Callithrix jacchus: one gene and its partners. The protein of the gene in region 2 interacts with the protein of the main gene of each other region in a pairwise test. Links are inferred from orthologs where the notes say so. Each region holds a gene or a part of one and is shown on either strand. Other genes may lie near its edges.

What was found.
Region 1: the proteins of CTBP1 (region 2) and NOL4L interact in binary tests that used the Homo sapiens proteins (3 or more experiments, as listed by UniProt). The link is inferred for Callithrix jacchus from reciprocal best matches to the Homo sapiens genes CTBP1 and NOL4L.
Region 3: the proteins of CTBP1 (region 2) and KLF3 interact in binary tests that used the Homo sapiens proteins (3 or more experiments, as listed by UniProt). The link is inferred for Callithrix jacchus from reciprocal best matches to the Homo sapiens genes CTBP1 and KLF3.
Region 4: the proteins of CTBP1 (region 2) and PRKAA1 interact in binary tests that used the Homo sapiens proteins (3 or more experiments, as listed by UniProt). The two-hybrid records come from large-scale screens. The link is inferred for Callithrix jacchus from reciprocal best matches to the Homo sapiens genes CTBP1 and PRKAA1.
Region 5: the proteins of CTBP1 (region 2) and HEMGN interact in a two-hybrid assay, tested with the Homo sapiens proteins (2 studies listed by BioGRID and IntAct). The link is inferred for Callithrix jacchus from reciprocal best matches to the Homo sapiens genes CTBP1 and HEMGN.
Region 6: the proteins of CTBP1 (region 2) and KLF12 interact in binary tests that used the Homo sapiens proteins (3 or more experiments, as listed by UniProt). The link is inferred for Callithrix jacchus from reciprocal best matches to the Homo sapiens genes CTBP1 and KLF12.
Region 7: the proteins of CTBP1 (region 2) and CRY2 interact in binary tests that used the Homo sapiens proteins (3 or more experiments, as listed by UniProt). The two-hybrid records come from large-scale screens. The link is inferred for Callithrix jacchus from reciprocal best matches to the Homo sapiens genes CTBP1 and CRY2.

What each region holds. Positions count from the first base shown.
Region 1 is NC_133506.1:6,763,903-6,767,953, reverse strand, and holds part of NOL4L (nucleolar protein 4-like), read right to left. Parts: coding exon 3,980-4,051; intron 3,782-3,979; coding exon 3,659-3,781; intron 3,244-3,658; coding exon 3,042-3,243; intron 1-3,041.
Region 2 is NC_133504.1:191,959,091-191,962,755, reverse strand, and holds the end of CTBP1 (C-terminal-binding protein 1), read right to left. Parts: intron 3,282-3,665; coding exon 3,046-3,281; intron 2,500-3,045; coding exon 2,382-2,499; intron 1,891-2,381; coding exon 1,704-1,890; 3' UTR 931-1,703; downstream 1-930. UniProt on the Homo sapiens protein: Corepressor targeting diverse transcription regulators such as GLIS2 or BCL6. Has dehydrogenase activity. Involved in controlling the equilibrium between tubular and stacked structures in the Golgi complex.
Region 3 is NC_133504.1:155,141,515-155,145,565, forward strand, and holds part of KLF3 (Krueppel-like factor 3), read right to left. Parts: intron 2,288-4,051; coding exon 1,801-2,287; intron 1,135-1,800; coding exon 984-1,134; intron 1-983. UniProt on the Homo sapiens protein: Binds to the CACCC box of erythroid cell-expressed genes. May play a role in hematopoiesis.
Region 4 is NC_133503.1:164,777,170-164,781,740, reverse strand, and holds the start of PRKAA1 (5'-AMP-activated protein kinase catalytic subunit alpha-1), read right to left. Parts: upstream 3,196-4,571; 5' UTR 3,191-3,195; coding exon 2,851-3,190; intron 1-2,850. UniProt on the Homo sapiens protein: Catalytic subunit of AMP-activated protein kinase (AMPK), an energy sensor protein kinase that plays a key role in regulating cellular energy metabolism.
Region 5 is NC_133502.1:146,067,374-146,071,923, reverse strand, and holds the start of HEMGN (hemogen), read left to right. Parts: upstream 1-1,652; 5' UTR 1,653-1,702; coding exon 1,703-1,781; intron 1,782-3,570; coding exon 3,571-3,664; intron 3,665-4,550. UniProt on the Homo sapiens protein: Regulates the proliferation and differentiation of hematopoietic cells. Overexpression block the TPA-induced megakaryocytic differentiation in the K562 cell model. May also prevent cell apoptosis through the activation of the nuclear factor-kappa B (NF-kB).
Region 6 is NC_133502.1:40,952,669-40,957,346, forward strand, and holds the start of KLF12 (Krueppel-like factor 12), read left to right. Parts: upstream 1-1,448; 5' UTR 1,449-1,498; intron 1,499-4,678. UniProt on the Homo sapiens protein: Confers strong transcriptional repression to the AP-2-alpha gene. Binds to a regulatory element (A32) in the AP-2-alpha gene promoter.
Region 7 is NC_133511.1:110,895,253-110,899,303, reverse strand, and holds part of CRY2 (cryptochrome-2), read right to left. Parts: intron 4,040-4,051; coding exon 3,888-4,039; intron 3,763-3,887; coding exon 3,560-3,762; intron 3,250-3,559; coding exon 3,157-3,249; intron 2,011-3,156; coding exon 1,871-2,010; 3' UTR 1,869-1,870; intron 1-1,868. UniProt on the Homo sapiens protein: Transcriptional repressor which forms a core component of the circadian clock.

The DNA of each region.
Region 1 (4,051 bases), on a different chromosome or scaffold from region 2:
AGTGATTCTCCTGCCTCAGCCTCCTGAGTAGCTGGGATTACAGGCATGCACCAACATGCCCAGCTAATTTTGTATTTTTAGTAGAGACGGGGTTTCTCCGTGTTGGTCAGGCTGGTCTCGAACTCCTGACCTCAGGTGATCCACCTACCTTGGCCTCCCAAAGTGCTGGGATTACAGGCATGAGCCACTGTGCCTGGCCTCCAAGGCAGTTTTTAGCTGCTATGAAGAGAGATGGACGAGCTCTTGTCATTGGAGGTATCCAGAATGGAAGTAACATCTTGGGAGAAATTATGGAAACCTGACTGCTGCTAAAAGGAAGCTGGTGCGGCCTCCAAATGGGGAAGGAAGTTGGATTCTAAGGTGGGTCAATTTGTCACATGGGGTTATTTCCTCTGACCAGAGAATGTGGACACCAAGGCAGAGGTCCCAGGAACCATTTTCTAAACAGTGTCCTTGGAATCGAGAGTTAAGGAAACAGTTAAGTCTGTTAAACACAGGAGGAAGGGGTTGGGGCTGTCTGGAAACAGCAGCCAAGCAGGTGACTGATGCCTAAGGTGTCACAACAGGGGACTGGGAAGCTGGGAACAGGAGTACCTCTGCTGGCTTCTGGATATTACAGGGGCTGGACCCAGAGGGATGGGGAGGAGAGGGTCTGGCTCCCTCTAGGGTGGCGCTGGTCCCCTCTGCATCATGCTTGGGAGTGGCCAGAGCCTCCTGGCATAGTCAACTTGAGCAGTGGCCACAGTCCCTTTCTTTTCTCCTCCTTTCCCCAAGTGCTATCCTGTTTATGCCTATGCTCAGAGCTTTCTCCTTTCTCTCCTGGGCTGTAGCTGAGGCTTGAAAAGGAGAAGGTCCCTGTTTCCTGCAGCCGATCTGATCTGGAGACATCCACATGCAGGCTCTGGTTACAGCCAGATGCTCAGGTGGCCGGGTAACTGCCAGATAGTGGGTAGAGGGATAGGAGTGAGCGTGAGTTACCCAGCACCCCAGGCAAGACAGGCTGAGCCTGATTCTATCTAAGCTGATTGCATCTCCAGATGATAACGTAGTGAACAAAGTGAGGAGCTCTGAGCCATTAGTACGGCTGCCCGGCGGAGGTACCAAACTGATTGAACAATCATTGGAAAGGCTGAGGCTGGGGAGGCCAGCGGGGCTGGGTGGCCTGTAGCCACATGGCTGCCTGTTGTCTTCCTTCAACTGCTAGAGGATTTAAACAATGTTCTTCAAATGCAGTACTAGTGCTCAAGGACAGAGGCTGCCCCAGGTGAGGTCAATGACCAGATCTCTGCCTCAGTGGCCTCCCCACCCACCATGAAGGAACCAGGGTAATTCACAGATGGGAGACCGAGGCCCCAGGATGCACAAGGGCAGAGCCAGCTGCCTCCCTGGAGGGATCATCCTCTGGCTGCCGTTCATGCCTCTTGCACAGGTGTGAACAGGGCGGGCATGAAGCAGTCTTGGCCCCACCATGAGAAGCCCTTAGGTGGGTTGGGAACCTGGCAGCCGCAGCCCTGAGACGGTCATGCTGGGTGACACCAGGTAGAGGCTTGTCACCATCGCTTGCTGCTAGAATGGAGCAGGTCCCAGGCCACCCTCACCTCTCCTATTGGGTCCCAGACCCCCATGTGTAGGGAGGGCAAGGCTGTGGGATGGCTTTTCTTCCCAGAAGGAAAGGAGCCCGCCTAGGACAGCACTTTACCTCTCGCTGTGCTGGCCGCTCTGGCCTTAGCTTCAGGGATTAGGGCCAGGCGGCCTCTTATTTTAGGTTAAGAGGCATTAGGAAGGGATGAGGAGTTAAGCCTAGGCAGGAATCTTACAGGGACCTGTGTATAACTTCCTCGTTCTGGGGGGTGGGGGTCAAGGCAAGTGGAGGCGGTCTGGGCTTCCTGCCATGGTTGGGGACTAGCTCCCGCCCTTGCCGTCCAGGAACAGTGGTCTCCTGCAGCCAGGGACGGGGCTTAAGGAATCCTCTGGCATGTTTAGCCAAGACCATGCACCAGGGTTCCCCGGCTTACAGGTGGCACCTTTCTCTAACCTACTCACGCTTCGACTTGGCAACTCCATTCTTCCCCTCACTCCCCGGCCTCTGAACAGCCCCCAAAGCACGTGGCTTCAGCCTCCTGCCCTCCCCATTCAAACCTTCTTACCACAAGGGCAGACAGAATGGCAGACTGCCCAACTCACGGCCCTTTTGTGCTTAAAACCTAGTAGGGGCTCTTCTGCACAGAGAACAAAACCAGAGTGTCTGGCCCAGGAGGTCCTGTGACCATCAGGCTACCCACACTCCTCCGCTGCTGCCTCCCAGGAAAGGGGTCTGAGGTTCCCCACTCCAGTTCGTGCTCACAGCAGCACCTGACTCCGTCTCTTCGGGGACTGTCTCCTCTAATGGTCTGCACTGCATCTGCCGCAGAGTCTCCCGGGAAGTTACCGGGAAAGCACCGACTGGATCACGCGGCTACAGGAGTGGAGTGAGGGGGCAGGTGTGCAGCCATCACCCTGGGTGTCTCCATGTGGGCTCCATGAGTGCAGGGGCAAGGACCGAGGCCCAGCACCTGGGTGAGAAAATCTCTTACCTCACAAGGCAGGCCCTGAGCTGAGGCCTGGGGAGGGAGCTGACCTGCAGGCCAGCAATGTCTCACTGAGCCTCGGTCACTATGGGTGAAATGGGCTGTGGAGATTCAACTCAGGGCAAGAACAGGCCCTTGGCTGGGACTCGGCACCCACAGGAGCCCTGGGGTAGCGGAACCACTGAGAGGCACTGGTAGTGAAGGCAGGAAGCGTTGGAGCCAGTGTCACTGGCGGTGAGAAGAGGGTGGGAGGCGTTTGCTTTAACCAGCTGAAACCTCCTCCACCTCCCCATCTAAGGACCTGCTGAGATGATGAAGTGGGAGGGTGCCAGAGCGGCCCCTCCTGCTCCCCAGGCTGTGAGGCAGCCCCTTTCCGTCACTGGCCTCTGCTGCCCTCTGCCCTGCCCCGGGGTGCTCTGCAGACCCAGCTGGGTGCTGGTCAAGGAGCCAGAGTCCAGGCCTCCTGCAACTCACCGTTACTGTGGTTTCCTGTTTGGAGGGACGCTGGGGGCTGTAGGTTGCTGCTCAAGGCCCCATACCCGCGGTAACTGTAGTTGAGGCCGCCGTTGGCGTACACGGGGTCCTGGGAGTAGGAGGAGGCTGGCAGTGAGTAGGTGGAGTGGGTGATGGCTGCGGAGTCCCGCGAGTGCTGCTTATCCAGGGCTATGGGCTCATCCTGCAGAGGGGAGAGGGTGGCGCTGGGGAAACGGGTAACCAGGCCCAACTACCATCCCTGAACACCAGGTGGATACACGCTGTGGCCCCAGGACTCCTGGGACCCAATGCTGTGGTTTGACCTGTGAGACTGTGTCTGTCTCGCCCCAGGGGCTTCCCCCAACTCTGCTCATCTCTCTGTGGGTTCACTTGACCAGCGCCCTCCAGTCTCAGGATGGAGCCCACACTTCCACATGAGGTCTGAGGACCTCTGAGAACACACCTGACCTCCACCCACCTCCTCGTCTTTGCCCTCCTGTTCCCCCTCTGCCCTCTCCCAACTGCACCCATCACAGCTCCCTCAGTCCACACCCGTCTGAGGACTGCTCTTTCTGGCTTCCCGGGGTGGCCCCTGCTGCAGCTGTGGTGGCAGGTACCTGTGAGGACTGGTAGATCTCCAGGCGCATCCGCTTGGCTGCCTTTCTCGTCTCGCTCTCACAGGCAGCTGCCAGGATGTTTTCTGCCATGGCCGAGGTCAGGTGGGGTGGCGTGGGTCTGGTCTGCAGGCAGAATGGGGAATGGAGCTGGCACAGGGCTCGTGGAGGTTCTGGGCTTGTGCAGAGACCCTGCCCCAGGGGTGGGTGGCACAGGGTGGGGTTTGGGCTCCCGCGCCTCAGTCTATGGAGCTGTGTGATCTTTCCAGGCCCCCTGGCACCCTGGGAGTGCGGCGGGAGGTCGGCTGGGGCAGAGGGACTCACCATCTCCATGCCGTTCTTCTTCATGCGGCGGCAGGACTTGAGGTACGTGCGGATGCGCTTGCGGGCGCGCTC
Region 2 (3,665 bases):
AGGCCCTCCGTGGGCCTTGAGACCGGGAACCACTGCCCATACCCAAGAGACCTCTGCGGGCCCCAGGGTTCAGAGCCAGGTAGGAGGGGGCACCCCCACCAAAGGCAGTGGCCTCCCCACTGCTTCTGCTTTAGCTGGGGCGGGGAGCAGGGGGAGGCTGAAACTTGAGGGGTGACGCTGCAGGGTCTGGATGCTTGGGCTGGCAGGAGAACCCACCTGCATTCGGGGAAAGGCTCAGACCAGGGACGTCCCAAAGGGACCCAGGTTCCCCCAGTACCCGCTGCAGCCCCTCCTTGCACTACCTGGACCCACCTGCAGGAGTCTGCCTGGAAGCACTCCTCCGGGGTGTCTGGTATCAGAGTTCATCTCAAAAATGAGCTGGGATTCTGCTGACATGCATGGACCACACTTCCAAAGGAAAGTCTGAGGAACCAGCAGGCTGGGATTTCGAAGAGGTTCGGCTGTGGGCCAAGGTGAGGAGTGACCCCTTTCGGCTTTTTGGCACATTTCTGTAGGCTGGATGACCCGTGGACTGGGCAGCTTCCTTGGCCCTGACGTCTGCTTTCCCTCCTTCTGTGGCCCACAGTCTTCCCAGGTTGTAGGCCGGCCTGAGGGAGGTCTGCCGAGAAGGGAGGCGGTGGGCCGTGGGGCAGACCTCAGCCAGTCAGACCATCATCAACACAACGGCCCGGCCTGGCACAACGCTCCCCTCCCACAGGGAGGCCGCCTCCAAGCCACGACCCTACAGTGTCCCACAGATGAAGCGGGCAGAGGCCACTGCCCGACCTGCCATGTCACTGTCTCTGGGTCTCTCTTGGGCTTCCCACTTCAGAGAGGCTGAGCTGGGCCCTGGAGGTCACCATAGCCGGGACTGAGGCTAACCCGTGTCCTCGTGAGACCGTCACTAGAACAGACGCTAGGCACGCGGGCTCTTTCCGGGATTTTTATTTCTTTAAAATAATTCATACAAATGGTTACAGTCACAAACATGATTTTAACCAAAATATTGCTAGCCTACCACATCAGCAGGACGGCACCGGTGCAGGCGGGACGCTGCCACCCCCCACGGCTCCAGGACAGACGTCGACGGGCAGCGGGCGTGCCGGGCACCGCCCAAGCTTCTCCTCCTGGAGCTGCTTTGTGATGCCGTCTTCATTTGGAACAAGGGGGGTTCATGCCAAAATTAGGAAAAACAGCCTTTGTTTTGTTTTTCTAAATTATTCTAAAAATAAGACAAGCAGGTAGAAAAAACAATGCACTGTGTGGCATAAAAAGAAAAACGGGAAGGGTTCATTGTCCTGAGAAGTTTGCCAACTGCCTCATCCGGGGCACGTTCCAACATAGAAAAGGAGAAAATGACCTCGAGTTGACTTCGGAATGCTCCCTCAGGTTTTCCTTTTGTTGACAGCTAAGCAAACAGATCCGTTGTAATGTTCTAAAAACTGTACACAGACAAGAACGTTCATGGGAGAAAAACTACTGACTTCTTCTGCTTAACGAGGAACGCGAAGGACACAGGACAGAGAGCCCACGGGACGGACGACGAAAACCGACACGGGCCCGGCGCTGCCCACCCGCCTCCTGCACTGCCCGACAGTCTCTGCAGCGCCACGGCCGCCACGCAGGCACCTCCTCTGCACACTCTGGTCCGAGGGGCTTCCGGCCCTCCGCCCAGGCGCCGAGGCTGGAGAGCTCCTCCCGGGCTACAACTGGTCACTCGCGTGGTCTCGATCCGCCTCGGGCTTGACAGTTTGGCCAGGAGAAGGGGCGTGGGGCGGGTGGGCCACAGGGGGTAGACCGTGGGACAGGGACATGGCGCTGGGCACGATGCCTTCCACAGCAGCTGGGATGCCAGTGGGGGCCACACCCACCACGCCAGGAGGGTACCTGCTGGGAGAGGGTCCAGCCGTGGGGCCCACCTGTAGGCAACCTGGCCGGGCCCCACCTGCCCTCACACTGGCAGTGGCACCAAGGGGGCATCTCCTGGAGGACCAGCAGTCAGGGGGAGGGTTCTTGCCTCTGCATGGACGCTCCTGCCCACGGGAGCTACTTCTCAGGGCAGGGGAGGGGAGCCCTGGTGTCTCCAGGCAACTGGAACATGAGGTCCTCACCTCACCCAAAGCCCCCTGCTCCCATAGCCCCCGTGCCCACAGGCCTCTGCCCAGCAGTCCTGTGTCCACTGGGCCCTGAAGGCCACCCAGCCCAGGCTCCTTCCAAGGGGCCCTGGTTCTTGTGGGACTTTTGGGTGAGGTGGGCACCAATTCCACCCAGATCCTCCAGCTCAGCAGAGACGCCGCCCCTCCTGTCAGGGGCTGTGCTGGGATCCAGGGGAAGCCACCCACCCTCATGGAGGCTGTTAAGTGCCCAGTGGGTCTGCTCACCTGTAGGCGGCCCCATTGAGCTCGGGGTGCACGACCGCGGGGTCCATGCTGGCCCAGTGGGTGGCGGCCGTCAGATGGTCCTTGTTGACACAGTTCTTCAGGCTGTCTGGGATCCGGCCTGGGAGACGTAGGAGGGAGGAACAGCTGTGGCTCTGAGGGGACCCCAGGAGCATGGCCCACTGGGTTGAGGACATGAACTGCAGCGCCCTCGGCCCTGTGCTCCTGCCCTCGGCCCTGGGGCTCCCCAGGCACAGCTGGGTACTCTTGGGGGCCAGCACCCTCACAGCGTAGGCAACCCCCAGCCCAGAGCATGTGCCCAGCTTGCTCAGGGGCCTGTCTGCTCAGCCCAGGAACTTCCCAGAGCAGCTCACAGGCCCCAACCGGCAGGTCTTGTGTGTAAGACATGGCTCCAGGGCTCAGCCTGACTTTGGCCTCAGAGGCCCCTGAGGGGCCCTGGTGAGAGAAGTGAGAACCACAGCCCTGAGCTGGCAGAACATGAGCCCGGATGCTGGGCAGATGTGAGCCCACAAGCACCTGGGGCTGGCAGGAAGGGGGCCCCCAGGCTACCACAGGTGGGTGCAGGGCCTGATGGAGCCACCCCCGTGCCCACCTATGATGGCTCTGCGGAGCTCCCCAGGCCTGACCGAGCCGCCCCCGCGCCCACCTGTGATGGCTCTGCGGAGCTCCCCAGGCCTGACCGAGCCGCCCCCGCGCCCACCTGTGATGGCTCTGCGGAGCTCCCCAGGCCTGACCGGGCTGCCCCCGTGCCCACCTGTGATGGCTCTGCGGATCTCCCGTGCTGCCTCCTCTCGCATCTCGATGGATGCCTGCTCACTGTACCATGCAGCGTGGGGGGTGCAGATGAGGTTGGGTGCGTCCTTCAGGGGGCCCTGGCTAAAGCTGGGAACAGCACCGGCATGGTCAGTGCAGCCCAAGTGTTGTGCCTGCGTTCGGCGGGGGAAGGTGGCTGGGCACTGGACCCCCGGTGGGGAGGGCCCTGCCTGGGAAGCAGACCCCACGGCCTCTGCTCTGCTGGGCAGGTGGGCTGAGCACAAGGGCACAGCCTGGGACAGTCAGACCCACTGGGGGCTCCTGACAGCAGTGGGATTTAATCTCCAAGCCCTCAGGGGAGCAGCCTTGATGGGGGGGACATACTGGCCTGGCCCCTCTCCACCGAAGGGTCTGTGGGTCCCACAAGCTGATCCTGCCCCTGCCGAGGGTATCTTCTGTAACTAACATCCAGCCCAGGGCTGCCTGGGGTCCCAGAGCACTGTTTGCAGGTAG
Region 3 (4,051 bases), about 37 Mb from region 2:
TTGTACTAGGAAGCTGGCCGCCGAATCCGATGTTGAAGGGCCCGTAACATAAGACAATTACAACAACTACAATCAATAACGAAAACAGAAATGAGGGCAGCAAGATCAAGTGACTAGGCCAGATCATACATACGGTAAAGAGCAGAGGTGGGATCCTTGTTGGACCCAAAGACCATCTTCTTAGCAACTACAAACCCTGCTCTTAGTGTAATCACTGGTAGAGGTCAAGGTTATCTACAGCAGGATCTTACAAATGAGGTTACTGAACCTGTGTGTGGCACTACCATCTTATACCATGTTAGACCTACAAGAACCCACCATTCAGGTGGTTGGATGCTGACCAATACTGCACAGCCTTCCTACTGGATGGCAGTTCTATAGGATACTATACACTCTGTAGGCAGATATGATTAAAAAGACCAGAGAATAGTTCTTTCAATGCTGGGCTTCCCTGAGCTACACAGATGACTTTTTGTTGCCACCACTATTTCCAGGACTTGTTCTGGAGCATCTCTTTTGGGCTTGTGGTTGGCCTGCAGATGGTGATTACAGATATTCCCCATAATAGAAACAATATACTAGGTTAGAAGTGACAGCTGGGAGGACTATGTATGTCCACATGAACACTTTATATGACCCAGAAAACACCAAATTTAATCTACACAAGGATTCTCATCATGGAAGAACTATGTATACATAGCCTGGAAGAATGGAAATAAAAATAATTCATGTGGTTAGGTGCAAAATCACAGATGACTGATTCAATGAAAACTTGATGTAACTTTTGTCATAATGTTGTCAGTGTAACAGAGCATACTGTTTTTGGAGAGATTCTCCCATCTTGGCCAGGGATACCCAGCCAGTGGCGGCCACAGACAAGAAGCCATTCACACCACATCACGTATGTGAAATCTTGTGCTTCCGTTCCAGGTTCCAAGATGCATGCTACTATGCAAATGCCGGGTAGACCTAAATATACTTACTCTTGCAACAATGCTTGCGGGGGGGACACTGAGTTCATTAAGGGGGGTGACATTTCTTCAGGATAATAATCTGTCCTCTGTGGTTCGATCCCAGGTTCTATTTTAATTTTTTTCTGTGATATCGGCTTCTCATATGATTCAATTACAGGTACTAAAAAACAAAAATAGAAAAGTCACTCCATGTACAATTTACCAATTTCAGCTTATAAAGGTTTACTGCACAGCTCCTATCTACTATACAGATATGAGAAATGTATTTGCCTGTGGCAGAATTATAGCAGGAACAAATCTGTGGGAGATTCTTGCTTCTCTTGACCATCATTTTGCCGGTAAGCAGCAAATACAGGGACCTGGATTCTAAGACACCAGCCCTGAAATGATTCTTTCTTACAATTCTGGATTATTTCCTTTTAAGACTATAGTCTTGTCTATGACCAGTTAGTAAACAAGGTGGCTGTTGATTGGCATTAGTTTTCACCACAATCAAAAAGTGTTTATTAAATGCCTTTGTACCTAGAACCACGTTGGGATTCAATAAAGCAACCTAAAGTCAAGGTTCTTTCTATCCCCAGGTTGACTATTACACAGTGAAAGTAATCATGTCATGGTATCAAACAGACAAGCCTGATTCTTGGGATCTCTTCCAGTATCAACACTTTAGGGGAAAAAAAGGAAAAATGAAATGCCTTAGGCAGATGAGTATTTCCTTTGAAGAGTTCAACAGCCCTTGCCCCGTGCTTCCTCACCCAGCCCGTCTGGTGAGGCGCCAGTACACTAGTAGGCAAGTGCAGCGGCATGGAGCAGAGGCGGAATTTACCTTGCATGCTACTGCTGGAATTTTCCATTTCTTCTGACAAGGAGACCATGAGAGGCTGTTGGAGGTGACTTGTGTACATAAAGGGGACGGGCTGCACCACCACTGGCTGGATGACGGGCAGGATGCCTGGGCTCCGTATTCCGTGGCGCGAGAGGGCAGCTGCCATCACTGGCGGCATGGACAGTGGCACGCCGAAGGGCTGCACTGGAGAAGGGGGTGAGTATTTTTTTATTGGTGGGCTAGAAGAAGGCATGCTCAATCCAGGCGAGGCTCTCCGGTGTGAGGACGGGAACTTCAGAGAGGAGGGCGAATTCCCAGCCGACGAAGGGGGTGAACTCCGCTTGTTCACCGTGAGGTCCACTGGCTCCATCTGTATTCCGTGCGACAGGCCTTCTGGGGTCTGAAAGAACTTATCAGGCAAAGGTGTAGAGTAGATGACCCCATACTTGTTGGGCTTCATGGATTCCATGTAATTAGATGGGTATGACTATAGGAAACGAAAAGGAAAACAACGTGTCAACAGCCAAATAAGTGCATTTTACTTGAAACATGAATTAAGACAAAAACATGCTAACAAGGCACTTAACAATCCCATGGGCTTTACAAAGTGGTTTAGATTTCGATATACACTTGACCTTAAAAAAATGCTCTCGGAGAAGTGGTCTCAACAACATTAAAAATACTACCAGAGCTGGGCGTGGTGGCTCATGCCTGTAATCCCAACACTTTGGGAGGCTGAGGTGGGCAGATCACCTGAGATTGGAAGTTCGAGACCAGCCTGACCAACATGGTGGAACACCGTCTCTACTAAAAACACAAAAATTAGCTGGGTGTAGTGGCAGCTGCCTACAACCCCAGCTATTTGGGAGGCTCAGGCAGAGAATCACTTGAACCTGAGAGGCGGAGGTTGCGGTGAGCCGAGATCACGCCATTGCACTCCGGCCTGGATGACAAAACAAACAAACAAACAAACCCCAAAAAACAAAGAACAAAGAAAATGCTACGAGAGGCAGTCTCATCAACATTAAAACTAAGATCAAGGTGGCCACTACTGCACATGAAAAATCTGAAATTTAACCCCAAGATGATTCCTGTGTCAAACATTAAGGCTGATACCTGGCAAAATTTTAAGACAGGCGCTAGCACAGGCATGGGGGCCATTATCATTAGGAGTCAGAGCTGGGGTTCACCAAGAACCAGCCAAGCCAAACCAACCTGTTGCTTTTCTGGTGGGGTTTCTTGATAAGCAGGAAATGCTCTCTAGCTTTAGTCTCTAACTTCAGCAGGACAGTGATTTCTCAGGATAAGTAGTCTTTAACTTCAGCAGGATATTGATTGCTCATCATACTTGTATATAATAAGGAAGAATGGGGCTGCATAACAGACCGTATCTTTCTTTTGAAGGGCTTCAGCGGCTGAACAATCCATGCCTAGAATTGGCCAACAATCCTAGTCGGCCTTAACTGTCCTGCTTTCAGCACTGAAAGTCCCACATCCCATGAAACTCTACAGTCTCAGGCAAACCAGGAGGGGGTCAGTCACCATACACACCTCTGTCCTGAAGGCCACCCTCACTGGGGCAATTATGTCCTTGGCCCTAACTTGCTCAATGTTCTTATTCAGAATCTGAATGAAGCTGTAGACTTGAATGCCAAGTCTGTGGGTGACACAGAACTGTAAGAAACAGCTAACGTGCTATGACTTGAATAAGGAAATGTGGTGGTCAGGGTCATTCACACAAGCTGAGGCCCCGTGTTCTCTCCTCTACACACTGCTACCCATTCATCAAATGAGGCTGGGGGACAAACAAGGGAGAGAAGAGACAAGAGTCTGTTTCCTTCCCAAGATCTGATACACAACGGACCTCATTTATCTTCAAACACCTTTCTCTTTTAAAATACCACAATAACCTAACTTTCATCTGCCATCTTTAAATACAAACCAATCATAATAATTTCACACTATGGGCACTATCCTTGACTATGGAGTTCACCTAAATTACTTCTATTCCTTAACTAACATTTTGTTGTAAATTTTCTTTGTAGAATGCAACATATTTTGATTTTTAAAAAAATTAAACAAGACAAACCAACTTCTTCGCTCGGCATTTTAGGGAAACTGAAATTTTGCATGTCAAGCCTGCTTACCTGCAGAAAATTCTTTGTACTTGAATGGCTGACATTGACATTGATAAACAACATATGGTGCTTCTCTTCCAGCTCTAAAATCCTAGGTGTTTGTGATTTAGAGG
Region 4 (4,571 bases), on a different chromosome or scaffold from region 2:
GTTCTCATCACTGACAAGTGGGAGCTAAGCAATGAGGACACAAAGGCATAAGAATGACACAATGGACTTTGGGGACTTTCGGGGAAAAGAAGGAGGGGAGCGAGGGATAAAAGACTACAAATATGGAGCAGTGTATATTGCTCGGGTGATGGGTGCACCAAAATCTCATGAATCGCCACTAAAGAACTTAATCAAGTAACCAAATACCAGCTGTACCCCAATCACTTATTGAAAAATTTTTTTAATAAAATTTAAAAAAAGATGTCTCCCACTCACTGACACATCAAAGGGTGGGTCATATTCTTTTAAGGGTAATGCCATCCCCCTTGCTAATGCCTGCTTAGGAACACCAGCATAAGCCAATTGGCAGATGGCATTTCTAGCCAGAGGGACTGGATGAGACAATAAGACTCATAAGAGGTATGCTGGCCTTCCTTGCTCTGGAGAAAGAACCACAGATAAGTTCTTTACTAGGTTAAGCTGGGTTTTCTATTACTTTTGGCAAAAAGCATTCCAAGTGTTAGATAACTTAAAAATGAAGAGGTTAAAAATTCTGATCAACATCGACAAATGTGATTATAAACAAATCTAAACATATCTATGAAACCCATGATCCTTGGACTAATATTGGCCTTTGTACATTTGGAGAGTTTGTTGACTCTAACAGAACATGGTACTCCAATAGAAGTACATGTGGGTGGAGAAGTGAAGGTTAAGAAACAGCAAAGTCACTGGAGACATTCATGTAACAACCATATCACAGATCAAATGCAGAGGATGAAAAATCTCTTGCTTTACTACCTGCCGTGCCAAAAACCACTTAGCAAATAAAACAGATCAGGCTGGGCACAGTGGCTCACACCTGTAATACCAGCACTTTGGGAGGCCACGGTGGGTAGATCACGAGGTCAGGAGTTCAAGACCAGCCTGGCTAACATGGTAAAACCCCATCTCTACTAAAAATACAAAAATTAGCTGGGCATGGTGGTGTGCGCCTGTAATCCCAGCTACTCCGGAGTCTGAGGCAGGAGAATTCCTTGAACCCGGGAGGTGGAGGTTGCAGTGAGTGAGATTATGACAAGGCACTCCAGCCTGAGTGACAGAGCAAGACTCCGTCTTGGGGGAAAAATAAAACCAGACCTGGCTTCATTCAAGTCTATATTAGGGGGAATAATGAACACCCTAATCCAATCTGAACACTGGGAAGGGGTGGGGGCAAAAATGAACATTTTTTTACAAATACTTGTAAACTAAAAAGCAGTTGGTAATTGCTAACAAGAAATATCATAGCCAAAAATAAACTTAAAACTTCCAGGGCACAAAAACATCTTACTGGCCTTATATGGACCTGTCCTAACAGCTGTTATTATCGGATTCTGGCATTTTGCTTCTTACTTCCTCTGGACATTGTCGGCCTTGCCGATTTTCACAAGAAGATTCAGGCAGTTGCTTCCCTGTGGGATATACAGCAATTTTCCAATTCTATGACTCAGAAAATGGCAAGAGAGTCTCTTACAACCCCAGACAAAATCAGAAAATGTTTATTTAGCTCTGGGAGAGCAAGTCTCAGTTAAGTTACCATACAGACTTACGAACTTTTTTTCTTTGAAGTCAAATATTTACCAAGAACTTACTATATGCAAGTCAGTCTACTATTTATCCAAAGGCAATGCATGAAGCATTTTTATTAGTTCCAAACTTCCTTTCTCTACATCCCTTATAACTAAGTCAAATATTTTAAAGAAAAAAAGAGTCATACCTCGCAAAGCTTGCAATTAAACGTTTTTGGCCAGAATTGGTGGGCTGTAGAGCAAATTTACTTCCAGAATATTGCTTTGAAACAGTCCATGCTTTTCTTTCTCTTAATTTCAATAGCTTTAGGGGTCCAAGCGGCTTTTGGTTACACAAATGAACTGCAAAGTAATGAAGTCTGGGATTTTAGTGTACCCATCACCCGAATGGTGTACAATGCACCCAGTACATCTTTCTTTAAACACACGTTCAAATGATATGCACATAAATCGTTTATCATAATACAAATAACCTTTGAAAATAAGTGGAAAACTGTATTAACTGAAAATAAGTGGAAAAGAACTGTATTAATAACGTAATGAATACGATCTGGAGGCAACATCTGCACTAACAACCAAGTTTCGCACAGAGAAACTCCTGATAATTCAGAAACACTAAAGGCAGAGTCTCATTCGGAATGTAAACCATGCATCGCAAATACTGAACCAGTTTATATTCATTAACTGCTCAGAAGAAAACCAGTGATCCTTTCCGACGAGATGGCCTTTAAAAAGAAAATGATGTAGGCTACCCAAAAAGCAACCTTATTTTTGCGGAAACACATTTCACACTCGGGAAACAGCGGGGGCCGGTAATCGACAACCTCCTACAGACGACGGAACACGGACAACGCCGAGGACCGCCAAGGAGCGATGGGCTGGCCCAGAGCCACGGGAGCACAACCCAGACGCGCGGTTGGCCTCCTCCCCGAGGATTGCGCCCGGCGCCCCCTCCTCCCAACACCAGAGCGCTCTTCGCCGCCCGCCAGCCCGACCTGGGAAAGTTTGCACCTCCGCAACCCCGCCCCTCGCTACTACTGGCCCCTCCGGCCGCGGCGCCGTCGCCATGGCGACTGGTCCACCCCCCACCCCCACTGGGCCAGGGCTGGCCGCGCCGCAGCCCCGTGGCAGCCGGGAAGAGCTCCCAGAGGAGCCCGGACAGGGGCTACCCAGCCCCGGAGAGGAGGGACGTAGGGGGCGGGGGAGGATGAAGAGGTGCGGAAAGCGGAAGTCTTGCGGCTCCCCACCTGGGGCCCAGCCTAACCCCAGTGATTCTCACCCTTCACTTTGCCGAAGGTGCCGACTCCCAGCGTGTCCCCCAGAATGTAGTGGCCGATCTTCACCCGCCCGTCGTGTTTCTGCTTCTCGGCTGTCGCCATCTTTTTCCAGGAACTGAGTCTGCGCATGGCGCCGCGGGAGGGGGCGGAGGGGGCGGGCAGGGCCGCGCCGGGGGCGGGCGGGGAGGGGGTGGGGACGCGGGAGGGCAGCCGCCAAGCAGAGCCACCGCCCTGCGCCGCCCGCCCAGGACCCGCTGCCGCCGTCGGGCGCAGACGCTCCCCCTGGCGGGGCGGGCGAGGACCGCCGGGAGTGGCACCGGTACCCGCCTCCTCGCCCCGCATCCTCTGGCCTGGGTGCCCGCCCACTGGCACGCGGAGGGGCTTCCTGGAACGTTGAGGCGGACAGTGGCCCCCGGCTCTTCTCTTCTGGCGGAGTTTCTGCCCGCTGTGATCTCCCCTAATTACCACTTGGGGATCGGAGAAGACCCCCTCTCTGGGTGACTCCAGAAGGGAGATGAGGACTGGAGTCATCACTCCCGCTCGGGTGATGCAGATCCGCGGTTACGAGGACCGCGAGAATTAAAGCAAGGCAGGGGACACCGCCCTGCCACTCCTTTCTAACCTTGATTCTCATCTTTCTTTCTCGGATGGAATCTAGAAGCCGCAGTTTTCACTTGCGTCTGTGATGGAGTTTCCCGCCCCTCGCCCCCTCCCACCCACCCCCAACCGGCGGTCTCTTTTCGCTTTGAGCCGGTAAGTTGCTACTGAGCCCCAGGACGGCTCCAGGAGCGCTGTCGTCGTTTTCTTCTGCAGATTATCCTGAAATTTCCTCCCCAAAGCAAGCTCTCTTGCGAAGAGCTGGTTGGGGAGATGTGCAAGTGAATGTGTATTCCAAGAGGGGGGTGATATGCAGAACTTGTGGTGTATAGGAATTAATACTTTTAGATTATCAGTAAAATTTTTACATTCACTGGACTGAGAAGGAGGCTTACGGTAACATCAATCAGATCAACAAATATTTATTGTACTTGCAATGAGTAATACTTAGTTACCACAGCATAAAGTCTCCTTATTTTAAATAAAATGTTTGAGTTTGTTACTCAGTTTCACTCTTCTAATTAGTAGGCAAAGTCAAGTGTTTTGTTATATTCTCTCAATTTTGCAATGTCATAGCATTGGGCCAGTGTCAATGGCAAAAAAAAAAAAAAAAAAAGGACCTTCATGAAACAGTATAAAAAACTAAAAATGTCATTTTTAATCCCAACAAAAATTACCCAACTCTGATTTTCTCCTCTCTGTTTCTGAAATAAAACATGCATTAGGCAATATTTTGTTCCAAGGAAGGTATTGCAGGGGAAGCAAAAGTTTCTGCCTTTGAGCTTAGTATTGCACCAGATAAACAGGGAACAGTCCCAGCTAGCCTTAATCAAGTTCCTACTATACTGGGGACTGCACATTGTTTGAAGGGAAAAAAGTTAAGAAATCTTTGATTACTGATGTATTTGGGGGCAGATGGTGTGGTGGTTACTGTTGTAACTTTTGGTGTCTGGTTTTTTCACTTTCATCTGTTTGCCTTGTGAGTTTATACACGTCCGGATTTGGGGATCTCTGTAAAACAGAAGTAGCTCTCTGGATTCCCATGGGGGCCAGGGAACCTTAAACTCCGTCGCCTCCCCAGATAGCATCTTAAATTACTTTAAGTTTTCATTATGGCTAGAATTTA
Region 5 (4,550 bases), on a different chromosome or scaffold from region 2:
ACAGAGATTTACTTAAGAAAAAGACCAGGGAACTGAGAGAGGTAAAGCTAAACATTGGAATTTAGTAATTAAAAACCAAGTTAAATGTTAATGGCAGATACTTGGGTGTTTGTTATATCATTCTTGATACCCTTCAGTGTATTTGATAGCTTGTTTCTCTAATATGCTTACATCATACACACATTTTTATACCCAGGAAAGATTAAGCACACAAAATGATAAGCTATCTCCTAATCTGTAAGAGATGCTGCTGGCAATAAGTAGTAAGTATAGGTAACTCTATTCCTTGGCTCTCAGTTTCTTCATATATAAAATAGGGAGGGACTGCATGATTTGGGGCTCTCCCAGTTCCAATGCCTTAAGACTCCATGGAAGTAGTGGGTGTCTATTCACATTACAAAGGTCTTTCTTTATAAAGAATTCTTTTCAGATTTTCTCTTTCTTTAGTGCATTTAAACTACAACTTGGTTTACCAAAATCTGGTGACTGTATTTTTATTGGCAGCTAACATTTACTGACCAAGTTAAATATGCAAGTCACACATCAAATGCCTCACATGGATTAGTGGACTTAATTATCCCAGTAACTTTATGAGGTAGATATCAATATTGTCCCCAAGTTATAAATAGGTACATTGACTCGAAGGCTGTCTAACTTGCCTCAGGTCACTGAATTAGGGAATGACAACACTGGAATTCAAACTCACTTCAATTCAATATGAATACGAACACACAGATTAACCCTGCGTCTCCCAGACTGGCTTCCTGTATGAGGAGGTGCTCAGGGTTTCTTCCTTATTGAACCATAGGCTCCTTGTCTTCCAAAATGGGGTGACTGCTTGGAGACAGGATGTTTCCTTTGATGATCTTAACTTAATTTCTGTGATACAAGGTAGTGATATTTTCATTAAGAAATAATTTTTTACCTTCCCCTATATGAGTAACAATGGATTTCACCAGTTATCTTGAGTCACTTGTGAATGATTTGGTGAGCAAAAAAGGGTACAAAATTACTGTGAATTTCTAACTTGGTTCTTTATGTCTATTTCTTATCTAAGTCTAACAGCATACACAGCAAAACTGTACATTATTTTGCAACAGATTAAGGTGAAAAAAATCCACATACAGGAAACCATGTAAGATTAATATATATTCATACTTTCTAAAAATTTTCACATCCATTATTTTCACTTTCACAAGAACTGTATGAATTAGGCAAGACAGAAATTATTTGTTCATTTTGCAAATGCAGAAAGAGAGTCATAGAAAAGGGGGGTGACTTGCTTTGGGCCACTGTGCTGGTTGGAGCCTAGATTGTGTTCTATACCAGGCCACCTCTGTCTGTAAAAGGAACATCGGATCCAGACACTTCCTGGCAGATAGAACCAAAGAGTGCTGACTGGAGGCTGTGCCATGCCAGGCTGTGGCCAGAGTTTCCCTGTATAAATAGCAACCTATGCTAGAGGTTGCTAGCACCAGCCATTTCCCCTGCTCACACCTGTGCAGTGTGATAAAGAAAGTAGAATTAGCCTGAAGTTGTGGTCCAGCCAGATAAAACTTTTAGGCGGGAAGTCAAGCGACAGGCAAGCTTGTATGTGTGGTTTTTTTTTTTTTTTAAGTGTTAGTTGTTTTTGATATTTTTAAAAAGCGTTTAGACTGGTTGTGGAAGTCAGACCAAAATAGCAGGAAGGTATTACAGCAAGATGGATTTTGGAAAGGACCAATCTTGTTTGAAGCACCATCAGACACTTGATCCTCTTCAAGAAGAGAACCATTCTCCAGGTAATGAAAAATACCTTAAGGGCTGGTGGCTATTGGGAAGAATTTGGGGTATGATAATTTTCTCTTTTCAGTGGATCTGGCCAAAAAAAAAAAGGAAATACATTTAAATGAAAGCTAATGAGACGACCCTTTCATCCAATAATTTCATTAGATGGTTGTGGTAAAACAAGTGAGTTCATACATTTCTATGGTAGCATAAATTTGGTCAAACGTTTGGAAAGAGATCTGGCAATAAGTGGTGAGAGCTATAACACTGCTCATTCTTTTGACTCACTAATTTCAGTCCTTGGATCTATCCTAAAGCAGCATTTCTCAAAATGTTTTGTGGAACCTTAGGCCTTCAGATACTCTAAGACATTGTTTTAAAATTTTTTTGCTCCATGGATCTCTTTGGCATTCTGATGAACTCACAGACTCCTTCTTTGAATAAAAGTTTTAAAGGCATAAAATTAAATATATAAAATTACAAAGGAAATAATTATATTAAATACAAATATCAAAATTAAAAACTGTGATATAGTAATGTACATATGATTATTTATAGATGCATTAGATAACAATATCCAGTGGTGGGTCTAATAATAATAGTATCAAGTCAAATAAATAATAGCCAGTAAGTGATATTTTAAGGTATCTGCAACAACAGCAATGTTATATAAAAATATGTGATTTCTTTATGGGGTCAAAGCCATATACTGTGGGGGAGGGAGAGCATCAGGAAGAACAGATAATGGATGCTGTGTTTAACACCAAGGTGATGGGATGACCTGTGCAGGAAACCATGGCACGTATTTACCTACATAACAAACCTGCACATCCTGAACATGTACCCCTGAACTTAAAAGTTGAAGGAAAAAAAGTCATATACTGCCAAAACTACTGTGGTTTGTTATCTACATTCATAATTGAAGGAAATGTCAACTTTAATTAGATGTTGGTAAAAATAAAGGTATAATTTTTCTCTATAAAGAGCCTTCAACCATGGTTGAAGGGGCATGCTCTATCCTTCAGAGGTCCCAGTGCAGATGTGCATCACTTCACAGGCTCTAGGAAGCTCTACATCAAAGACTCATTAATTTTTCTCAACCTTAGTTGGCAGCAGAAACTTTTTTGATCATACCCTTAATTTTCCAAAGACCTTGAAGAAACACCATTCTAAGGAAAAAATCCAAAAGAAAAGCTATATGCAATGACTATGCTTATTATAATTTGATATACAAGGCAAAGATTACTAGCAACAACCTACATGCTCAATCCAAGAGGAAGCACTGGGTAAATGAGAGTACATCAACTAGATTATGTATTTTATTGTCATTAAAATTATCATTATGAAGACTACATCATGGAAAATAGTTCTAATATAATGTTAGGTTAATAAAAAGATAAAATTGTGGTATGCTATTCTTACAACTTTGTATAATAAAAGGAATGGACAGAAACGAGTAATAAAATGAAAACAAATTATCATGTTAAAGACAGCAAAATATGGCTGCTTTTTTCATTATTTGTACAATATGTAAACTTATTTTGAAGAAATGAATAGGTTGGTAGCACATTTATGTACAAATACTCTGTGTGAGTATGTCTCTGACGTTTTCATTCAAAAACATTTGGTGAATGTCTGCTTCCAGGCTTTCTCCGGAGATACAAAGATAAATGAGATGTAGTCCTTGTCTTCAAAAAGCTAGGAGGAAAACCTAGCATAGAGATTCTGCTACTTGACTATAGGACTTTTGCTGATAAACACCACAGTTCATCACTTTCTCTAATAACTTTCATTTTATTACAGAAGTCATTGGAACCTGGAGTTTGAGAAACAGAGACCGACTTAGAAAAAGAAAAGCTGAAGTGCAAGAAAAGGAAACATCACTATGGCTATTTGGGTATGGTAGCATCACAAGGGAAAGGGAACTAATATATTTATTGAGGATGTTATGCATCAAGTAGTGCTCTGCACTTATATACACTGTATTTTATCTTTCCAACGATCCTGTAAATCAGGCATTGTTATCCCTATTTACAGAAAAAAAGAGACTAAGCCTCCAGTGAATTAATTACCTTGCCGAAAGTCACACACACAGCTGGTAAATGGTGGGAACAGACTTTTTTCCCCTGGTCTCTTTTAATTAAAGCACGGAGTAATCAAATTATATTGTAGAGAAGCCTGGCGTTTAGCTCCTATGGTAATATAAACATAGAAGCATCTTGCTGGGAGTGGGAAGCATCACTGAAGAAGCCTCCAAGATTGTTCTCCAAGCTTTCTATTAGCTAAATTTTTACTGAATGAGTGTGATTAACTCTCCATGGAGTAAGCCAAAACATTTGCTGTAAATGAGTGACAGAGAGTTTAGATCACCTGTATGTTTACCTGTACGTAAACACAGGAAGGGAGTACAAGAGTATGGTTATAAGTTAGGCGGCATCTAATTGCATCCATTTCAAATATGACTGTGACAACTGGGGACTTGCTTGCTTGGAAGGGGAGCCCAAAGAGCCAAAAGTGCAGCATCCATCTAAGCCAAAGTGTCTCCACCTTGGCACTGCTGTCACTGTGGGCAGAATTGTTGTGTGGGGCTGTCCTGTGCACTGCAGATGTTTTGTAGTATTTTCTGACCTCTAGATGTCAGTAGCACCTTCTACCCCAGTTGTGACAACAAAATGTCTCCAGGGGTGGTGTGGGGGGGAGACAGGCAAAATCACCTCCAGTTGAGAACCACTAATTTAAGCAAAGCACTTGTCCTATGAAAGGACATTTTCCAATCCCACAAA
Region 6 (4,678 bases), on a different chromosome or scaffold from region 2:
AGAGGAGAAAACTTAAGAGAGTTCCCTCTTCTTTTTCTCTCTCTTTTTCCTCATCACTATTAGAAATGTTTCTAAATATCTCAAGGCCCTAATCTAGGCCCTTGAATCCTCAGTATTAATCTACACCAGTAAAAAAAAAAGGATCACACTGGCTATTCTTGCAGACCAGAGGTCTAAGGAACAATAGCAGAAAGATGTTCCTAACAATGGAAGCAAGGTCATAAGCTCAGCCGCCACTCCTTCTCTTACAATAGGTAGACTGGCTTCACCCAAGGCACATGGCGGAGAACCATGGCTAAGAAGAGACTGAAAGTAATAAGAGAGTATTCACAGCAGAGCTAAGTAGCCCAGACATGCACTAGAAACATAGTTCGACGTTACTAGCCTTGAGGATTTTATAGGGTATTTGTGTATTTGCTTATCTTTAAGAGACTAAAGAATCAAGTTCTTAGGAGAGAGAGGGCATGAAATAGTTTTAAGACACTAATTCAGTCACTCTTGTCATCATTCTGCTCCTCTATTCTCTTAAATTTGAGAGAGACAGAAACAGAGATAAAGAAAGTCACGCAGAGAGTGAGAGCGCGAGAGAGAAATTAACATTCGATAGTAATGTGATACTGTTGTCATTTCCTGAATGATGAATCCAATTGTCCAAATGTTCCGCTTTATAACAAGAGCATTTTTCCCTACATCAAATGCTTCTCCCTCAGGCAGGAGAGGCTGGTGCAGCAGTGGTGCAGGATTGTAGCTCTCATCCTATCACTTTCACTCAGTCACTTAAAGCTCCTCACACTCTCAAATTACACACATGGTTTTGGTTTGTAAATCACCATGGTAATAAGCACGACATAAATAACTCATAGAGTTCAATAGAAAAAAAAACTAACAATGACAATGAATAATTAGGAAGTAAGGACTTTGTGCATTAGTTCCAATTAAATTGCTCAAAATAAATACACACTTGTGCTTTCTCAAATCTGTGAGTGCTAGTCCTCTGCCTAGAGAGAATAAAGACAAAATAAATAATAGAGAGGAAAACAGATGTATTGATTCAAATGTACTTTTAAAAATAAGAAAGATGGTCTGAGGAGTAAAAGGGGAAATAGCCATTCACAGAGTGATACTGTGCACCCTCAAGAAAAACACGCTAACAAAAAACAAGGCTTTTAAAACAAGTAGTTTTAAGAAAAAAATTTTGCAACAGGTTAGAGTTAAATACAAAACTAGTGACTAAAGTGGAGATAAACATGCATAAGAAATGGTTAACAATGTTTAGTCAGCTCAGCCATGACAACATTAATGTAGGAAAAGTCTTTCTTTCAATATTTTGGTCATAGCCTGATAAGGAACCAACAAGGGTTTTCACACAGCACCTTAAAAGCCTGTCTTATCCTTGGGGTTTCTGCAGCCAATGAAAGTTTGTCACGATGATGTAATGCTCCTGAGTTGTGTTTCAGCACCGACTATGTGGTCACCGGGTATCATGCCTGAGAGCTAGGTAAGTTTTTGGATCAAATCTTTCTTTCCAGCCTGTTCCCCTGCTTAAACTAATTTCAGCAGAGAGATCATTTGTTTCTAGTCTATTTTACTATCTCTGAACAATTTTTTAATGTGAGCTGGGTTATTATAGAATTGTAAAGACAGCTGGTAAACAAAACGATGGGATCTTAGAGTCAATTTTCCTCTGTTATTAGTGTGAAGGCTTTTACTCCCCAGCAATTTATCGTCACTTCAGAGGAAAAGAGCAGCAAACACTGTTATGTTTTATTTGTTAAGGAAGCTGTCGTCATTTGACAAACAAGTTTTACTAGAGATATTTTCGGGGAGATGAAAAAGATTTCTTTTTAAAGACTGACACTGAATTTGACTGATATTATTAAATGACCCACAGTGAACTGTAAGCAGTAGAGTAAGTTTTGATGTTTTTTTTATAAACAGAGAATATGTAAGTCCTGACCTCACAGATTTTAAACTTAAAAAAGAGAGAGAGAACAAGGCAGTACACTAATTTTTTTCAATTCTTATTTAAGTTAACAACAATTTTAAAAGGAAAAAAACAACTAAATATTTAGTGACCCTCAGTGGCCTGACAGTTACATGACATTAAATGAAGAAAAGTTAGAGATCAGTAATCAGTAAATAAGCCAGTTTCAGTGAATGGCTGTACAGATGTTTTCCTAAACAATTTTTTAAAATTTAGAGCATTTAAAAAATTTGCATTAGGTAACCAGCAAAAGCAATGGAAATGTAGCACTTTTTTTTTTCTCTATGGTACTCTCTGCAGATGTGGAGGTTTTAAAGAACTGTTATTGATATCAGTCAAGCTATGGATTTCTAGCAAAATGAAATACAGGAAACAATTATCCAGATAATTCAGGATGTAGGGGGGAAATCTCCCAAAACTGTTACTGGGGAAAAGAGAATGAGTGGGGAAGAGGGAGAAGGGTTATCATGCACTACCTGCTACACTGATTAAACGACCCAGATGTTACTATCTTTCACCTTAACTCTGACTGTATAGACACAGACTCTGAGAAAGGCATCTTAAATATGAGTGTGGAAGAACTGTCCTCAGCAATGCCGAATAACAGAAAATGTCTTGTAGAGTTTCTAACAGGAAAAGTATTTTTTCTTGTCTTGTAGAACTTGATGTCTGGTAGGTCCTAATGCATGTGTTCTTTTAAAAGAAACTTCACTAGCTTTCAAGCTCTTTCTCTACCCTCAGCTGAGTTTATCAATTACACTTCACTGTCTCCTACATCTTCTTTCATTTTATCCTCCAATGAACTGGGCCGTCTCCCTACATACCATCCTAGTGGTAAATAGGTACTTCACCCCTTACATTTAATTATCGTCCTCTCTTTGTTCCACAGTTAACTCATTTTTCTCTCAGATTAATAACTGAAATGCTAAATAGTTTATTTTTCAAAACTTTAAGTTAAAAATATACTAGCATAATATAAACATGACTCATTTTCCTTTCCCCCACCCCCCAAATTTCCATGGCATTGCTTTGGTGCTGTAATTGATACCAACATGGAAATTTAAGAGAAAAAACTCCACATTTTGATAGCATCCTATGCTTTGCTCTCTGCATTGTAAGTTCTGAACAGGGAGACAACATGGTTAGAAGAAGGGCAACAAAGTATTGCTCTAGAATTGAGTGAATGAAGGAGCAAGGCTTCAGAGTGACTGATAAAGAGAAAAAACATTTCCATAAAAGAAAAACAGTATGGATAAGGGGGACTACAGTGCAAATGATGTGAAATTACCTGGTTTCTGACACAGAATTTTTGGCTTTGGGCCCTTGGTCAAGGCTGAGCCTGTGCTTTTATGACAGAGCTGCATGCAGTGTGTTGTAGCTCACTAGGCTTGGGTTCCGAAATCCCACAGCATCCAGCTAGAGGCATAAAGGGATCAGCGTGGGGTTGCACACACTCATTAGTCTGCAGAGTTGGCCCTCAGAAAGGCCTAGGAGGAATCTGCTTGGGGTTCTGCTTGACCTAGGAAACCTCTTTGATTCTCACTCTGTCTGAGATGCAACTGTGCAGTACACATCAGGATTTTTTTTAAACAATGTTTTAAATGGAACATATTGCTTAAAAAAAAGTCTTTGGGGCATAATCTGAGCACTGACCTGGACAAATAACGCACCCTTCTGATTAATCCTGATGACAAAGTAGGCCTCAGAAAAGACAATTCAAGGTAGAGCTCCAATTCCAGCATTTCTGAAATCAGGTGGACATATCTGAAAGAATGCCTAGAGGATTTGTGGGTGACAACGTCTGGCAACACAGAGAATAAGTTACTGGCTGAGGGAGATCTATGATCGTACTCTACTGTATACCACAAAAGGGGTGTTCAACAAAAGTCATTCCGCTTTAAGGACAGTCTCTTTAAATATGTCACTTTCCATTTCATCAAAAATTATCTTTTCATCAATAGCATCTTTTATAAACAGAAATGGTCTGAACTCATTGAGTTATTTATCCTACCCATTTATATGATGGAGAGGAAAGCCCACTGGGGTCATTATTAGAAAAAAAGAATGATAGGTATGCAAAGAAAACAGAAGTTAGCTATGCCCTCCAAGGTGAATACTGGGACTAGTGTACTCCCAAGATACACTGAAAATGTGGATGTGAGAGCATATAGGAGTAGGTGTAGCAGGAGCAGCCGTGAGAAACAGAGCTCTGGAACACCGAATGGGGAAGGAAAGGGTTTATTATTATTATTATTATTATTATTATTGTTGTTGTTATTATTATGGCAGGGAGCCAGGCGATGGTTCCAAATTACCCAGCTTGTCCAACAAAGGAAGGTTCTGCCTTTATATAAGCTTATACTTTAGATATTACATATGGAAGAATCTTAGGTTTGTAGCCTTAGAAATTACATATGAAGATTTACAGCTTTAGGACTCACCTGTGAAAAGATTTCAGGTTTACAGCTTTAGAAATTACATATGAAAGGGTTTCGGGTTTACAGTTTTAGGAATCACATATGAAAAGGTTTCGGGTTTATAGCATTAGGACTTACATGTGGAAAGGTTTCAGGTTTGATCTTGTTTTAAGTAAAAACAGTGCCTTCCTGAGAGTTTCCCCAAGACCAAGCCTGCCACCTACAGGAAGGTGAATTAGGAGGCACCAGTGGGTCAGCCTTTTCTTCTATTGAAATG
Region 7 (4,051 bases), on a different chromosome or scaffold from region 2:
CCTCTTTGAATCAGGAATAAATGGCCGCAGCTGGGGCTGCCATCCAAGCCCAAACCAGCAACACTATTTCTGCGCCCCTTGTTAGGGAAGAAAAATAAACCCCTATTTGTTTTAGCCACAGTAATTGAGCTTTCTATTATTAGCAGATCTCCCCCACTTCTAGCTGACACATACAGATTTAATCACTTAATCGCTCCAACAGTAACCTAATTTATAGGTGAGGAAACTGAGTCTCACAGCGGTTAAGTCATTTGTACAAGATCATGTGAACCTTCAGCGTTTTTCTGTCCTGAGTGCCCTGCTCACTGCCTGAATCCAATTCACTTTTCAGGCCTCCCTAGTGCAAACGTCTGTGATGTGTTCCCTGCTTGCTCCCCTTCTGATAAGCCTGTACTGTTTGTTTCATTTGTCCAGGAATTATAGGTTATTGCTTCTTTTTATCGAAGCAGACTGCTAAATCCTTGTGGCCGGACATCACATCACATCACATTTTATATGTTTAATGCTCCCCCTTCCTCACCCACCTGCTGGCAACAATTTCATGTTGAATTGGACACCATGAACTTACTGAACAACCCTGACCCAGACATTTAACCTCTCTGTTCTCTGGTCTTCTCATCCGAAAATCAGAGTGTCAGCTTGGCAAGTTCCAGATTTGTAATGCAGGATGAACTTTGCTTAGTATCACAGAGCTAAGAGGTATCTGAGAGAGTAGTAGGTTGCCAGTACTCCCAGGAACAAGACAGCACACACCTGTCCATCAGCAATGTCTATGTCAAAGAGCCCAGGAAAGGTGAAGGGTGAAGGCATCAAATGCCCATCTCAGTGAGAACACAAATCCAGACACTCAAACCAGATGGCCCCAGCCTGGCCCTGAAGTAAGAAGGATCTGGAAAAAAGAACCTATCAGCTCCACAGAGAAAAATTACCCTCTAATCTAATGATGAAGACATAACACAAGGAACAGCTTGATGATGACTCAGAGGGGACAGGAATTTACATTTCCCCAAGAATGGCATAAAAGGCCCTTCCTGCTTTGGGAAAGGAGAAGCCAGTGTTCTGACGACATTCAGGAGGCTTCCAAGATGAGCGCTGCCAGGGAGGTGCACGCAAAGGTGATGACAGACTGGGTCTACTGGTCCTCAGGCAGGGCTGGGCTGAGTGAGACACAGCACAGCCTTCTGTCCAGGCTTCTTAAGGTCAGTGCTGCCCTCTACTGGCTGGCCTACAGAACACAGCCTGTGGGAGAAGGGGGTTGGGGAGAGCCTGGAGCAGCCTCCGACCCTGCAATGGGCCTTTCCCCCACTGTTTCACACACAGGTCTCAGCTTTCTTTTTGTTAAGTATGAATCACTTTAATAGGTAGAAGTGCCACCCCCTACCCACCCCATGCCTCCTATTTTCCCTGAGCTAGCATTAACAAAAAAAATAAAATAAAATAAAAGGGCTTGACTTTTAAATCTCTGATAAAAGTCAGAATGGTGGGATTTTTGAGCTAAAATCCTAAAAGTCATGCAGTCCCACCAGATTATCATTATTTTTAGAGATGGAGTCTCACTATGTTGGCCAGGTTAGTCTTCACCTCCTGGCCTTAAGTGATCCTCCCACCTTGGCTTCCCAAAGCACTGGGATTACAGGCATGAGCCACCACACCAGGCCCAATGGTAAAGGTCACACAGGTATCAACCAGAAAGTACTCATTCCTTAAGCCAGGATTGAACCCGGGCTGCCACTATAAAATGGCAAAGCTACAGATGCTGAGCTACAGCATTTCATCTAGTTTGCTGTGTTTTAATCTTTGGCTGGCAGGGCAGTTGCCCTGCCCCCTCCCCTCCTTCCTAAGGTTGACTCTAGGCTGCTGTCACTCACTCTCAGACATCCTTGCTTGGCAGCTCTGGGGTGGGCAACTCTGCCACCCTGGCCCGTTTGCTGAGTTCTTCACCAGGTGGTTCCTCGGCTGCTTCCAGCTTGCGTTTGGGGGATGCTGGGCCACTGGGTAGTGGTCTTGGGCCTGTAGGGAAGTGTGTCAAGGGTCACATAGACTGTGCTTACAGAGGTGTTCCCTGACTGCTCGAATCTCAAGTGACGCAGCAAAATGATCCTACACTGTGTAGCGGCAGCTCTTTAGGGGACAGGGAGCACACTCATCAATGGAATGCCAGCATGCTACGCCCCTGGCCTTGCTTTCGGCAGTGAGTTTTCCTGGAAATGTGAAAGGAGAACATGACCAACCAGGCTTGCTGGTAGCAGGGCCAGCTTTTGGGCCCCAAATGCCACAGGCTGTGGCCAGAGACTGACTTGGCCTGCCTGTTGTCCTTGCTTTGAAGGTGAGGCATTCCCTTGGCAACCCTGAATCAGCCTCCCTGAGCAGCAAAGAGCAGGGCCCCAAGGAGGCATGCTGCCCATGGAGGCAGCCTAGCTGGGGAACTAGAAAAACCCTTGTTCTGCCATCTCATGTTCCTGATCTTCAGTCCCAAGAAGGGAGGAGGCTCAGAATTCAGCGATCTGTCTAGTCTCTCTCTTTGCGGCCACCATCCTGTCTGTGCTGCCTCCTCCCTGGGCTCCCTGTGCCTACTCCAGCCTACACTGTCCAATCTCCACCCAGCAGGCTGGGGAGCTTTTTCAGGCCTAAGTCCAATCATGCCCTGCCCTATTGACTATCCTTCAGTGCACTGAAGGCTGAATCCTAGTCCTCGTCTCGGACATCAGGCTTGCCACATGCTGCTGATGCTGTATCTTCTCATTTCATTCCAGCTCTGCACTGGGACATAGCCGCCACACTGACCTCCCTTTGGTTCCTTGAATTGGCTAAGCTCGGTACTGTTTTTGAGCTTTTCCCTGCTATTCCCTTTGTCTGGAATGTTATTTTCTCAGTGGGTGGCAGGGCTGGCTCCTGCTCATAATGGGGGTCTCTGCTTCCACAGGTGTTCCCTGACTGCTCTAATCTCAAATGATGCAGAGGAAGCCCTCCTTCCCCAGCCCCTCTATCAAGGCACTCAACTTTCTTTTCCTCCAAAGCACTTGCTATCTGAAATGATCTGACTGCTGCAGGTGGAATGTAAGCTCCATCAGGCAAGGCCTCCTTGTGGCCTCAGTCCTGAATGACTGAAGTGGTGGCACAGGCCATGGAAGGCCACAGGAGGCAGCTGCTTCTCACCTGCACTGCTCATGCTCCCAGCCTGGCTCGAGCTGGGCTCTGCCACAGGGTGACTGAGGTCTTCCACACAGGAAGGGACAGATGCCAGGAGACCTGGGAGAGAGGCAGGGAATAATCAGAGTGCTGTCTTGCAGGACTGCAGAGGGTTACAGGGCAGGATGAAGCAAGCCAGGATGGGGAGGGTAGGACCAAGACACTGAGGTTCCCTTTCTTCCCACTGCCCCACAACTACTCAGGGAGGCCCAGTCCATCCCAGCCAGCAGTGTCCCACACCCCAGGAAGGTAGGTCAACTTAGCCTGAAAGACAGCACTAGCCTCCCTTTGCAAGTAACTAGACATCCCCATCTGGCCCCCTGAGCCTACAGGTGCTGTCCTTCCCTTCAGTGAGAGCTTGTCTCCTTACAGAGTCCCCGGTAGCGTGAGAGCTGCTGGTAAATCTGCTTCATTCGTTCAATGTTGAGCCGGCTGGTCTCGGCATGGTTGACGATGGGCCGTGGGTAGTCCACACCAATGATGCACTTGGCTGCCTTCTGAATGGACTCTGGGGCATTCCAGGGCTCATAGATGTATCGAGAGGGGAACCCTTTCAATTTGGGCAGGTATCGCCTGAAATAAGACACACCAGTTGACTCATCAGCATACCTAGATCCTCCTTCAAAGGGCCCGGGGTATCTCATCCTAGGAGGAGGACACAGTGGTCAGAAGCCAGAGAGCCTGGTCTGCATCCTCACCTGATGTAGTCTCCACTGGGGTCCGTGCGACGGCCGAAGCCCACAGGGCAGTAGCAGTGGAAGAACTGCTGGAAGAAAGCACTGCATGACAGCCACATCCAGCTGCCTGCATTCACGCTGAAATCTGCATCCAGGAGCAGCTCATCAAATACCTAAATAGGGGA